3 linked regions of the Diceros bicornis minor genome follow. The protein of the gene in region 1 interacts with the protein of each later gene in a biochemical or structural test. Links are inferred from orthologs where the notes say so. Each region holds a gene or a part of one and is shown in the gene's direction. Other genes may lie near its edges. The genes, in order: IKBKB, NFKBIB and NFKB1.

Region 1 (3,749 bases):
GTCCTGCTAGCGTAAATATACTAACACACACACAACTCCTTAGTCTGCTAATATAACACCATAGAGAGAAACTCAATAGAAACTTTATTACAATGCCAGGTAGATGGGAGAGGAAAGATTCATCTCAGGCCTGAGAGCCTCTGCCACAATTTCCCTACATCACTGGGGCTGAAAACGTGCTTTAGTGTCACACTACTAGATTTTCCCCCCCTTTTCTTTATTTTTTCAAGGGGGGAGAAGGGGCTGTCACTTCTAAGGAGTACAGCTTTGATTTATCATTCTTGACACGGAGCCAAAAAGCCTCCAGACAAGGGGAGCGCAGCAGGAGGACAGGAGGCCAACGACACTTCTTGTAAATAGTCCCCAAATCAATCCCAGCGGGGGCGCGGGAAATTCCACCGAGTTAAAAGTCTAGGAAGCGGTGTCAAGTTCACCCCAGGAGGGCTGGGGTGAGGAAATCCCCGTCTCCCCTGTCCCAGAAAGCGCTCAGGTTGAAGTCATTTGTCTAAAGGGGACTCGGGCATATTAGGGCTCAGCTTAGGACTGCTCTTTTATCTCAGGGAGCACAGCCTGACCAACTTCGACAGGAGTTGTCTAGAAGCCGCACACCCTCCCGGGATCACCTGGGCGGGGGTCGCCGGGCGCGGCCGGCTGGCGCGGGCACGGGGCGTCGCCTGACCCCCCACCTTCCCCCCCTCCCCCCGCGGCCCCTTTAAGGGCCGGCCGGCCCACGTGCCTCTTGACGTCAGAGCAGGAAGTGTTTGAGGAAGTCGCGCTCCGCTGGCAGGTTTAAGATTCCCGCATTTTAATGTCTTCGGGGTGGTGCCCGAGACCCCAGTGGTGCCGCCCAGCCCCTGCCTCCCCCGCCCCGGGCAGCCGCTCCCCCGCCCCGCGGCCCCGCCGACAGGTGAGTCCCTCGGGCGGCGCGGTCCTGGTGCCACCTGCAGACCCCGCGTCGCCTCTGCCTCGGCGGGCTCGCACCTCCCTCCTCACTTGAGGCTCCTGAAGAAACTTGTGTGGAGTTTGAAAGTCGGGGGGGGGTGGGGTTCCGGGCGTGGAAGCGATCCTCTCGTCGGGTTGGAGTCGGGGGCCCGGGACAGCCCTGGCCAGGTGGTTCCAGGGGGCGGCTTCGAGGTGGGTGGCTTTGGGAGAGAGCCCTGATTCACTGGGACTGTGTGAAGACACGTGACCGCGGGGACGCTCACGGCTCTCCCTGCACCTCGGGCGGCGTGCCGCGGGGCTCGCGCCGCTGGCTGGAGTCCAGGCTGGGCTCCCCCGCCGAGGTCCTGGGCTGTGGGCCGTCATCTCCTTTGGGTGGCTTTCCTCCCTCCGTGCTTCCACAGCCGCTGAGGTGGGGGTGGAGGACGATGAGCAAGACAAAAGTTTGCCCCCAAAACCAAAAACCCAAACAGAGAAACTGGTTTATTTACAAAACGAAAATCAGCTCAGGTTCTTCTCTCACATTGAAGGGCAGTGGTCTCTCTCACCTTCCCCGTCCCTGTCTCCCAGAGTTGCATTTTGTCTCAACCTTAACCTTTTGTCCCCACCCCGAATTGCTTACAGAGTTAGCACCGCATCAGTATGAGCTGGTCACCCTCCCTGCCAACCCAGACATGTGGGGCCTGGGAAATGAAAGAGCGGCTTGGGACAGGGGGATTTGGAAACGTCATCCGATGGCACAATCAGGTAGGGGCTCTGTGCAGCTGGGAAGGGCCAGGGTCGGCAGGGTTTGGGGGTGGGGAACACAGGCCCCCTCTCGCTGCCTCTACCCCACGTGGTGCTGGATGGGTCAATGGGGCTCACCTTTGGCCATGGGCTTCTTGGGAAGGAGTGAGAGAGGGAGACTGGGAAGAGGGCTTCAGGGCTGCTAAGCTGGCTCTGGGTTAGTGGTCTCTGCGCTTTATTGACTATGCCACCTAAATAAATAGTAAAAAAATTTAAGCTTTCAGCCTCAATTATATATATTTTAAGTTATATATCTGTCCTAATATTAGACTATCATGTGCTAATCTATTGTGTACTAATCTATTACATGCTATAAAGTTTGGTATGCTACACTTCAGCGGCCCTGGATCGGTTCCCAGGCACGGACCTACACTGCTGGTCAGTGGCCATGCTGTGGCAGCGGCCCACATACAAAATAGAGGAAGATTTGCAACAGATGTTAGCTCAGGGTGCATCTTCCTCACGCAAAAAGAGGAGCATTGGCGACGGATGTTAGCTCAGGGCCAAACTTCCTCAGCAAAAACAAAACAAAACAAAACAAAAAACACAAAAATAAAAATTTAAAGGATGAGAATAATAAAATTTTTTAACTGTTTTAAAAATTAATTTTAAAAATATTTTAAATATTTACCAATTATAATGTCTTCCCAGTATTGTTTACAATACTTCACAGCACAAAATATTCTGATCTACGTGAAAGTGAGAATTATCGTTAAGGATTGTGGATGAAAATCTGTATTTCAAATAATTTTTATAATTTTGAATTATTTGGACCAATTTCTTTTTAGATCTGGTTAGTTCCTCGTTGTTTTTATTCCTTATGTGTCTGACATGAGTTTCTCACACTAGAAGTGTCACTTCTTCCATATTCCTGTTTGTGCAGGTGTTACACGTACTGAAACTCTCTGCAGGAAATCTCTTTAAGCCACTCATCCATTTTATGAGTGTTCTTTTATTAAAATTGCATAATACAATCCGTAGCTCTACCTCAGTGGGGCACATGTAATCCGCATCGCGTCCCCATAGGCCCCTGTCCACCCCCTGCCAGTGGAACGCCCATTTTCCTCAGGATACCTCGAGTACCAGAACTGGCACATGACCTTCTGACGAATGATATGAGGAGGGTGCCATACAGTTAGTATCAGAAAAGCTTAATTTCTTTTTATTTTCTTGGATCCCAGTCTTGGGTAACCCCTGGGGTGCATACACCCAATTTGGAGACCACTGCTCTGGGGAACCCTCACTCACCAAATACGTAATAGTAGCTTCCTGACCCAAACTTCAGACCCACTGAAGTCCTTGAAGGAAGGTGCCTGCTTTTTAACCAAGGGCGGCTGAGCACCTTTTGGACTGAAGGGATGGCAGATCACACGCTGCTTCCCAGGAGCCTGGCTGCAGCAATCGCGGAGGGTCATTGAGGCTACTGATCAGCCATGTTGAGGGTCATTCCAGTCAGCCATCCATCCACCGTCATCATTTAGTGGGAAGACATTCTAGGCCCTGCCTTGAGTGCTGCCAGCTCTGAGCAGATCGAATGACCCCTAGAGAAATAGGGAGCCAGAGCTGGAGGGCAGAGTACAGTTCTGCAGGCGGTAATTCTCACACCCAAATGGGAAGCTAGGCTTCCAGCAAACCCCGTGGCTGAGGGGGCCTAAGAAACAAAACTGGCTCAAACTTGTTCTAGTCAGAGTATAGTTGGGAGCCTAGCATTTTAACAGAGCAGCCAGATCATTCTACAGCCCTACATATACCTGGGCTGGACTGTTTCTGAATAGGCCAGGGTTTTTAGAGTCTTGACTATAGCAGATATCTTGCTGCAGCCGCGCTAGAGACGTCTCGGTTTCCTTTGAAAAGAGTTCTGTCCGAATGCGCCACGTATCTGTCATCTTTAAGTCAAAATGACCTCCATTTGCTCTCTGGGCTTGGAAAGCTGTTGTCAGATGAAATGTGTTTCTGGCTTTATAGATATGAGCCTGAGAGAGAGAGAGAGAGAGTGTGTGTGTGTATGTATGTATTAGTCTTCT
Region 2 (3,749 bases), on another chromosome or scaffold:
GAGGTAGGGAGGACATAATAGTATGCGAGTGTGTGCGCGGAGAGGGTCAGGTTTACAGGCAGAGGGAAGTTTAGAAAGTAAGAGAAGATGAGAGATACTCTGACTGGAGGCAGGTTTGGAGAGGAGGCGTGGTGGGAATGGTAGGTTTAGGAGAGGCACAGGAACTAGAGGGAAGAGACAGGAGGGGATATAGGGGTCCCCTAGCTTCCTACAGCTCCCTCCATCAACCAGATACCCTTAGCAACCGGGACCGCGGCAACCTAAGTCCTTAGAAACGAAGGTCCTTAGCGACCAAGGTGCGAGAAACACGCAATCATGGGTAACTTGGGGGACGTGGCAAACGGACCCTTAAAACCTCGCGACCCAGAAACCCACCGACCTAGCAATACGGATCACTTAGCAACGGCCCGCCGAGTCCCACTCGCCCCCCTACGCAGCCCCTATCTGCTGCCCCATCAAGCCCACCCTCGGGCCCCGGGGCCTGCAGCCCTCAGCCAGGCCCCGGCGCGGCCCGACCCTCCCACCGGGGCCCCCGACTCACGGTCCGGCTCGGCCATGGACGCGGGGCGGGAGCCCTAGGAGCTGTCACCGACTGCTCTGTCCCGTGACGGCACCGGAAACAGGAGGGACAGACATAGGGCAGAGAACTACAACTCCCAGCAGCCATCGCGGCCGCAAACAAGCTTTCGCAGCCTCTCAGGTAATGAAGACTCCCGAGGGCCAGACTACGAGTTCCAGAGTGCCCCGCGCCAGCAGCCATGTTGGTAAAGGGCGCCCGGAAAATGTGGGAATGGGTAGAGAGCCGCAGTCCATCTGAATACTCTGATTGGTCACAGTGTGGTACGGGGGTGGGGCATGTGCTATTTAGCCCACGCTGATTGGGTGAGTCAGGGGGCGGGTTGGGGAATTCCCCGCAGGGCGGAAGCGCCAGACATCCAGGCAAAGCCCAGCGACGGGCGGGCGGCCGCTGGGGGCCCCTGAGGCTTCGGGGGCCATGGCCGGGGTCGCGTGCTTGGGGAAAGCCTCGGACGCCGACGAATGGTGCGACAGCGGCCTGGGCTCTCTGGGTCCGGATGCGGCGGCCCCCGGAGGACCGGGGCTGGGCGCGGAGCTGGGCCCAGGGCTGTCGTGGGCGCCCCTCGTCTTCGGATACGTCACTGAGGATGGGGACACGTGAGTGAACCTTAGGTTGCCTAACCGGGCCCTAGGATCCGACATCTGATTCCCTGTTAGTTTCTGATCCCGGCTTCCCAACCTCTCATCCTAAATCTGACTTCTGATGCTTGACTTCCTGATCTCTAACCCCCAAGTCCTAACCTTTAATAAGACCAATTTCCTCTCCAGCTTTGATCCTAATCCAATAATTTCTGACCGTTCTTTCTTGAACTCAGGTTCTCAGATTTCCACATCCCTATCCATTGATCTCAAAAGTCAATTTAACCTTCCTGACCCCAGTCCGGAGACCTTTGTTAGAACTGTAGCTAAGGCAGGCCCTTCCTGACCTCTAATCTCCAAATATGATCGTTGATCCTTAGCTCTTGATTTATGAGCCTTTTTCTTTGATTTCCCAATTAATACTTGGCCTTTGACTCTAAGATCCCACCTTCTGAGCACTAGTTTTCAAATCTTACATTCAAAGAGAAAATATAGGCTCTGTGACAGCAGGGATTCATCTGTTAAACAAATATTTATCAAACGCTGCCATGTTCTAGGCCCTGTTTGAGGTGCTGGTAATAAGGCAAGAGAAGAAAACAGACAAAAACATATGCCCTGTGGAGCATACATTCTAGTGGAGGTATGTGGACAGCCAGACAGACTGACAGACAGACAAGAAGGAAGGGAGGAAAAAGAAAGAGAGAGAGAAAGAGAGAGAGAGAAGAAAAGAAAGAGAAAGAAAGGGAGAGAGAGAGAAAGAGAGAATGAAAGGGAGACAGAAGGAAAGACAGACAGACAAGACATGGAGGAAGGCACAAAGAAAGAAAGAGAAAAGAAGCGAAAGACGGGAAGAAACTAAGACAGAAAGAAATGAAAGAAGAAAAAGAGAGAAAAGTGGTATGTTAGAAAGCAGTAAGTTCTTTGGACAAAAATAAAGCGGGAAAATGAGACAAGTAGATTGTCTGGGGAGAAGAGCAGTCCAGGGAGAAGGAACAACAGTTGTAAAAGCCGAGGGGGGGTTGTCCCTGGGTTTGTGTGTTGTGTTTTCTCCTGTCTCCCCATAGGAGCACTCAGTAAACATTGATCTTCTCAAAGAACCAGCTTTGGTTTCATTACTTTTCTCTATTTTTTTTTTCTTTCTATTTCATTGATCTCTGTTCTGACTTGCATTATTTCCTTTCTTCTGCTTACTTTGGGTTTAATTTGTTCTTCTCTTCCTAGTTTCTTAAGGTGGAAACTGAGGTTGTTGATTTGAGACCTTTCTTCTTTTCTAATCAAGGTGTCGTGTGCTGTAAATTTCCCTGAGTACTGCTTTAGCACTATCTCACAAGTTCTGATATGTGTGTTTTTCTTTTCTTTTTTTTTTTTTTTTTTGTGAGGATATCAGCCCTGTGCTAACATCTGCCAATCCTCCTTTTTTTTTTGCTGAGGAAGACTGGCCCTGGGCCAACATCCGTGCCCATCTTCCTCCACTTTTTATGTGGGACACCGCCACAGCATGGCTTGCCAAGCAGTGCGTCAGTGTGCGCCCGGGATCCGAACCAGCACACCCCAGGCCGCCGCTGCGGAGCCCACGCACTTAACCACTTGCGCCACTGGGCAGGCCCCTGTGTGTCTTTATTTTCATTTCAATTCATTTAATTCAGTATAATTTCTAATTTCTTTTTGAGTTCTTCTTCGGCCGGTGGATTATTTAGAAGCATGTTATTTAGTTTCCAGATATCTGGGAGTCTTTCTAAATATCTTTCTTTTATTGATTTTTAATTTAGTTCCATTGTGGATGAGAACATACTTTGTATGACTTGAATCCTTTTAAATTTATTGAGACTTGTTTTATGGCTCAGAATGTTGTGTGTACACTTCAAAAGAAAGTGTATTCTGCTATTGGTAGTGTAGTGTTCTTTACATGTCAGTTAGAGGTTGTGTTGGTTATAGCATTGTTCAAGTCTATATCCTTGCTGTTGAGTTTGTCTCTTTGTTATATCAGTTGTTGAGAGAGAGGTATTGAAATCTGAAACAATAATTGTGGATTTGTCTATTTCTCCTTTTTGCTCCATGTAATTTGATGCTCTGTTATTAGAGGCACAAATGTTTAGGATTATTATGTCCTCTTGATTAATTGATTTCTTTATCATTATGATATAACCTTCTCTATCCCTGCTAATATTCCTTGCTCTGAAATCTACTTTGTCTGATCAGAAAATACTCCTGCTTTCTTTTGAGTGACTCGTGTTAGCCTGGTATATCGTTTTCCACCCTTTTATTTTTAACCTTTTTTTTTTTTTTTTTTTTGGTGAGGACGATCAGCCCTGAGCTAACATCCATGCCAATCCTCCTCTTTTTGCTGAGGAAGACTGACCCTGGGCTAACATCTGTGCCCATCTTCCTCCACTTTATATGGGACGCCGCCACAGCATGGCCTGACACGCAGTGCATCGGTGCACGCCCGGGATCCGAACCCTGGCTGCCAGCAGCGGAGCGCATGCATTTAACTGCTACGCCACGGGACCGGCCCCCTTAACCTATTTTTTAATATTTATATTTAAAGAATGTTTCTTGTAGGCAGCATAGAGTTGAGTTTTACTTTTTAAGTC
Region 3 (3,749 bases), on another chromosome or scaffold:
TGGTCCCGAGGTCCCTGCAGAGACTCATCCCAGACTCAAATAAATGCATCTCTACTCCTCTGCCCAACACTCCACCAAGAAGATTCTTATAACCTTGGGGAGGGAGAGGAGAGGCCAGGCAGTGGGCATGAAAGGACCATGCAGAACTTGCTAGTAGCAATCTAAAGCCACAGCAACACTGCCTAGTGATCCCGTGATTACGGATGTTTTCAAGTTAAATTTACACAGTTGTCACTGAACTCAGCACTGAGACAATGAGTTCTAAAGCACCGATTCCAACTCAAGATTTCTTATTGGGGAGGTAATCTACTCCAAGGGATCCCCAGCCCACGCCTAGCACAGCACCTGGCACGTAGAGAAGCTCAATGCTAGTGGACGGTGGTCACCGGAGACATCTGTCCGTGGGTTCCAGGAGCAGTCTCTCCATTAAAAAGAGAAAATCTCTCTTCTGCCAGATCAGGATTTCTTTATGAGCTGTGAACCAAAACCATTGCTACCACCATCACTATAACTCTATCCACAGTATTATCATAAGGCCTGACAATGCCCTGTAGATGAAAGTTCTGAATAACAGTCATAACCAGGAGATTTAAGATCTCACCAACAACCAGTAGATGTTCAGACCTCACTGGACAGAATTCAGTTACGATAGAGAAATTCCAGTTTAATCTGTGAAGAGATTTGAGCGTAACTGAGACAACTTACATGGACTATACAGATGGGATTTATTTTTATACACAGCATGCTTGGCCCCGTGCCGACCCATCATCCCCTCCAGATGCCTGGGCCCGTCCTTAGGGGCCCTGGACCGCCCGACCCTATCAGCCGCCCCGCCGCCTGCTGCCCGGGACAGCCGGCCCCGCAGGCCTACCAGGGGGCGTCCCGCCGCTCTAGCCCCGTGGCTCCTTCGGGAGCGCGGCGGGGAGCGGGCTCCGCCGGGACCCGGCGGCCGCGCCGCCCCACGCGCGCCCCTCGCCGCGCGCCCCACCAGTGCGGGCTTCCCCCACCCCCGCGGCGACCCCACCTCCCGCCCCCGCGGCGTGCGCGCTTGTCCGTCTGTCTGTCTGCTCTCTCGACGTCAGTGGGAATTTCCAGCCAGGAAGTGAGAGAGTGAGCGAGCGAGAACGAGAGAGAAGTGCACCGGCGGGCCGGGGCAGGAAGAGGAGGTTTCGCCACCCGCGCGGCCGGGCGGCGCGCTGACAGCTTCCCCTGCCCTTCCCGGCGCTCGGGCCTCTCGCCGCCGCCCTCGGCCGCGCCCGCCGCCCGCCCCGGCCCCGGCCCCGGCCCCGCGCAGCCCGGCCTCCCCGCCGCGGCCTCCCGCGCCCGCGCTCCCTCCGCCCGCGCCGCGGACATGGCGCGCCGCTGACTGGCCTGGCCGGCGAGACCGCGCCCCGGCCCGACCCGCCCGGCCCGCACCAGACCCGCTCCGCCCCGGCGGCCGCTGCCTCTGCCCTCCGCAGCGCTCAGGCCCGCGCCCCCGGAGGGAGCCCCCGGCGCAGGGAGGCCGCGCGGACCCGCCACCAGGGTAAGCCACCTCGGGCGAGGGGGGCCTCGCCGGGCCGGGTGCCCGAGGCCCGCCGCCCACCCGCTGCAGCCCCTGCAGCCCCTTTCGGACTTCCTCATTCCGGCGCCACCGCGGGGCCAGCCCGCGGGAGGAGGTTGACAGGAGTGGCGAGGCACATGGGACTGGCGACAGGGAGACAGGCACATCCGGGCCGCGCAGGAGCCGGTCGGCCGCAGGGCCGCGGCTGCCTGGCCGGCCTCTCTCTCCCGTCCCCGCGCCGGGCGGGCCCGGGAACCGGGGCGAACTCTTGCAAACTTGCTTTATCCCCACCCCACCCCTGCTAGGGGCGGCTTGAGGTGGAGGTGCGCTTCGGCGGCGCCGAGGAGCGAGGGGAAGGGGGTGCGTTTGCGTGCAGTGCTGAACCAGATTTCACCGCCGGGCGGTTCACGAAATGAAAGCAGAAGTGCATGGCCGTCCTTTAGGCTGGGAGAGCCCTCCTCGGCCCTCTAGACTGAGGAGGACAGCCTGATGCCCTCGTCCCTTACTCCAAAAAGAATCCCCCCTACACACACACACACACACACACACACACACACACACACACACGACATAATATACTCAACTCACCTACTCTAGGACCCTACATTAGTCTTCAAGAAAACAAGGAGGGTCTGGTGCTGATCCTACAGTGCCTGGCATTTGAGAAAGAAAAGAAATTACCTACTTAGAGCACTTTTTAGACACTCTGATTATGTGAAACACTTGAACAACGGCACCATGTATTGTGCCTGACCTCTAAAGCAAACATAATGATATAAACAAAGCCTGTCCTAAATACAAGCTTTCTGTGGTCTTTAAAAATAAGTACGGAATGGAGATGTTTGCCCTGATTTATTGGTCTAACCTGAAACTTAAATGGGACTTAATGATACGGTATTTGATTGTCAAGATTTAAGGCGTTTTCATGGACTTTGTTGAGTAGGGTTTTTCAGCATTCAGCTTATTAAAGAACTATATTTAGCTTAAAATTTTTGTTATAAAGCCCATAATCTGAGAAAATGCCTTGGTATTACTAAAACATGTAATAGCTCTGGCATACAAATGTTCTTCTACAAACTGTTGCTCTTTGGTAGACACTAAAGCTTGAAATCAAGATGTTCAGTGCTTGTTTTCCTAGCAGAATACTTCAATTGAGTATTCTTGAGTAGTTTAAATTGCATTAGTGTTTGTTAAAACTTTGAAAGGGAATCTTGAGTAAAATAAAGCCCTTAGCTGAACTATGTTGTTTTCCTGATTTTAATATTGTGCTTTCTAGAGATGAATCCTTTTACTGTTTGATGCACTAAAGAAATTATGTAAATAATTTAAAGCAAAGTATTTTTTTGAGCTTACAAACTTGGGAAGACAGGAAATAAAAGATTTGTTTCCTGTAACATTTTATGTTTATCACGTAATTGAATTGCTAAGGTGAGAAGAACATATATAATAGACGGAAAAATGAAATCTACTGAAATTATTCATCCATCTGGTTATACCTGCAACTCCTCAGTGCCCTCTGGGGCTTGTTTAGATAGAATGTTTTCCTGGACCACAGTCTCCTGGACAAACATGAGCCAAAGAAAGACTCATTATGTGGAGATTTCGTGCTGGCACTGAAGGGCTGCTTGCCGTCAGCAGTAAACCCCTTCTAACCTGTTTGAAAGGCTTTTAAAAGGAAATAGTATAATGCAGTTAGGGATCGGTGGTGATTTGAAACTCTATTATCTTTGTTCTGAAATTTCAATTTTGTCTTATGTTCTGCAGTTGGCGTTCACATGGGCTGAATAAATGCCCCTGTTTTTCAGACCCGGTTAGTAAATACTGGAATATACATACAAAAATCGTTGTTCCCCTTTGTAAGCACTGCTTTGATCTTTGCACTTCCTTCTTACTTCTACCTCTTAAACAAGATCGTCTGTGATGACTGAGTTGTAGTTGGTAAAAGCTCAATTAGTCTGAAATGGCAGAATTTTAGTTTTAGTGATCATATTCCTCATATTTCTCTTCTCATGTTCTTTGGAACAAATTGAAGCTAGTTTAAGAAACTAACATTTATGGAGGTTGTTTTTACTACTGCTTTCAGCCTTCCAGATAATTGATGAAGTAAGTTACCACCTTGACTATCAGAGGTTACTCCTTGTGGTAGATAGAAGGTCTGGATAAGGAATTGGCAGCTACAGGGATCTTGGACTATTATTCGATCAGC

The links.
Region 2: of the proteins of IKBKB (region 1) and NFKBIB, one has a biochemical effect on the other in vitro, tested with the Homo sapiens proteins (2 studies listed by BioGRID). The link is inferred for Diceros bicornis minor from reciprocal best matches to the Homo sapiens genes IKBKB and NFKBIB.
Region 3: of the proteins of IKBKB (region 1) and NFKB1, one has a biochemical effect on the other in vitro, tested with the Homo sapiens proteins (4 studies listed by BioGRID and IntAct). The link is inferred for Diceros bicornis minor from reciprocal best matches to the Homo sapiens genes IKBKB and NFKB1.

The regions. Positions count from the first base shown.
Region 1 is NC_080768.1:39,338,921-39,342,669, forward strand, and holds the start of IKBKB (inhibitor of nuclear factor kappa-B kinase subunit beta), read left to right. Parts: upstream 1-768; 5' UTR 769-907; intron 908-1,563; 5' UTR 1,564-1,581; coding exon 1,582-1,686; intron 1,687-3,749.
Region 2 is NC_080773.1:13,007,978-13,011,726, forward strand, and holds the start of NFKBIB (NF-kappa-B inhibitor beta), read left to right. Parts: upstream 1-945; 5' UTR 946-994; coding exon 995-1,173; intron 1,174-3,749. Other genes in the region: SIRT2 (NAD-dependent protein deacetylase sirtuin-2), read right to left, coding at 542-557. UniProt on the Homo sapiens protein: Inhibits NF-kappa-B by complexing with and trapping it in the cytoplasm.
Region 3 is NC_080747.1:84,940,240-84,943,988, forward strand, and holds the start of NFKB1 (nuclear factor NF-kappa-B p105 subunit), read left to right. Parts: upstream 1-1,022; 5' UTR 1,023-1,525; intron 1,526-3,749.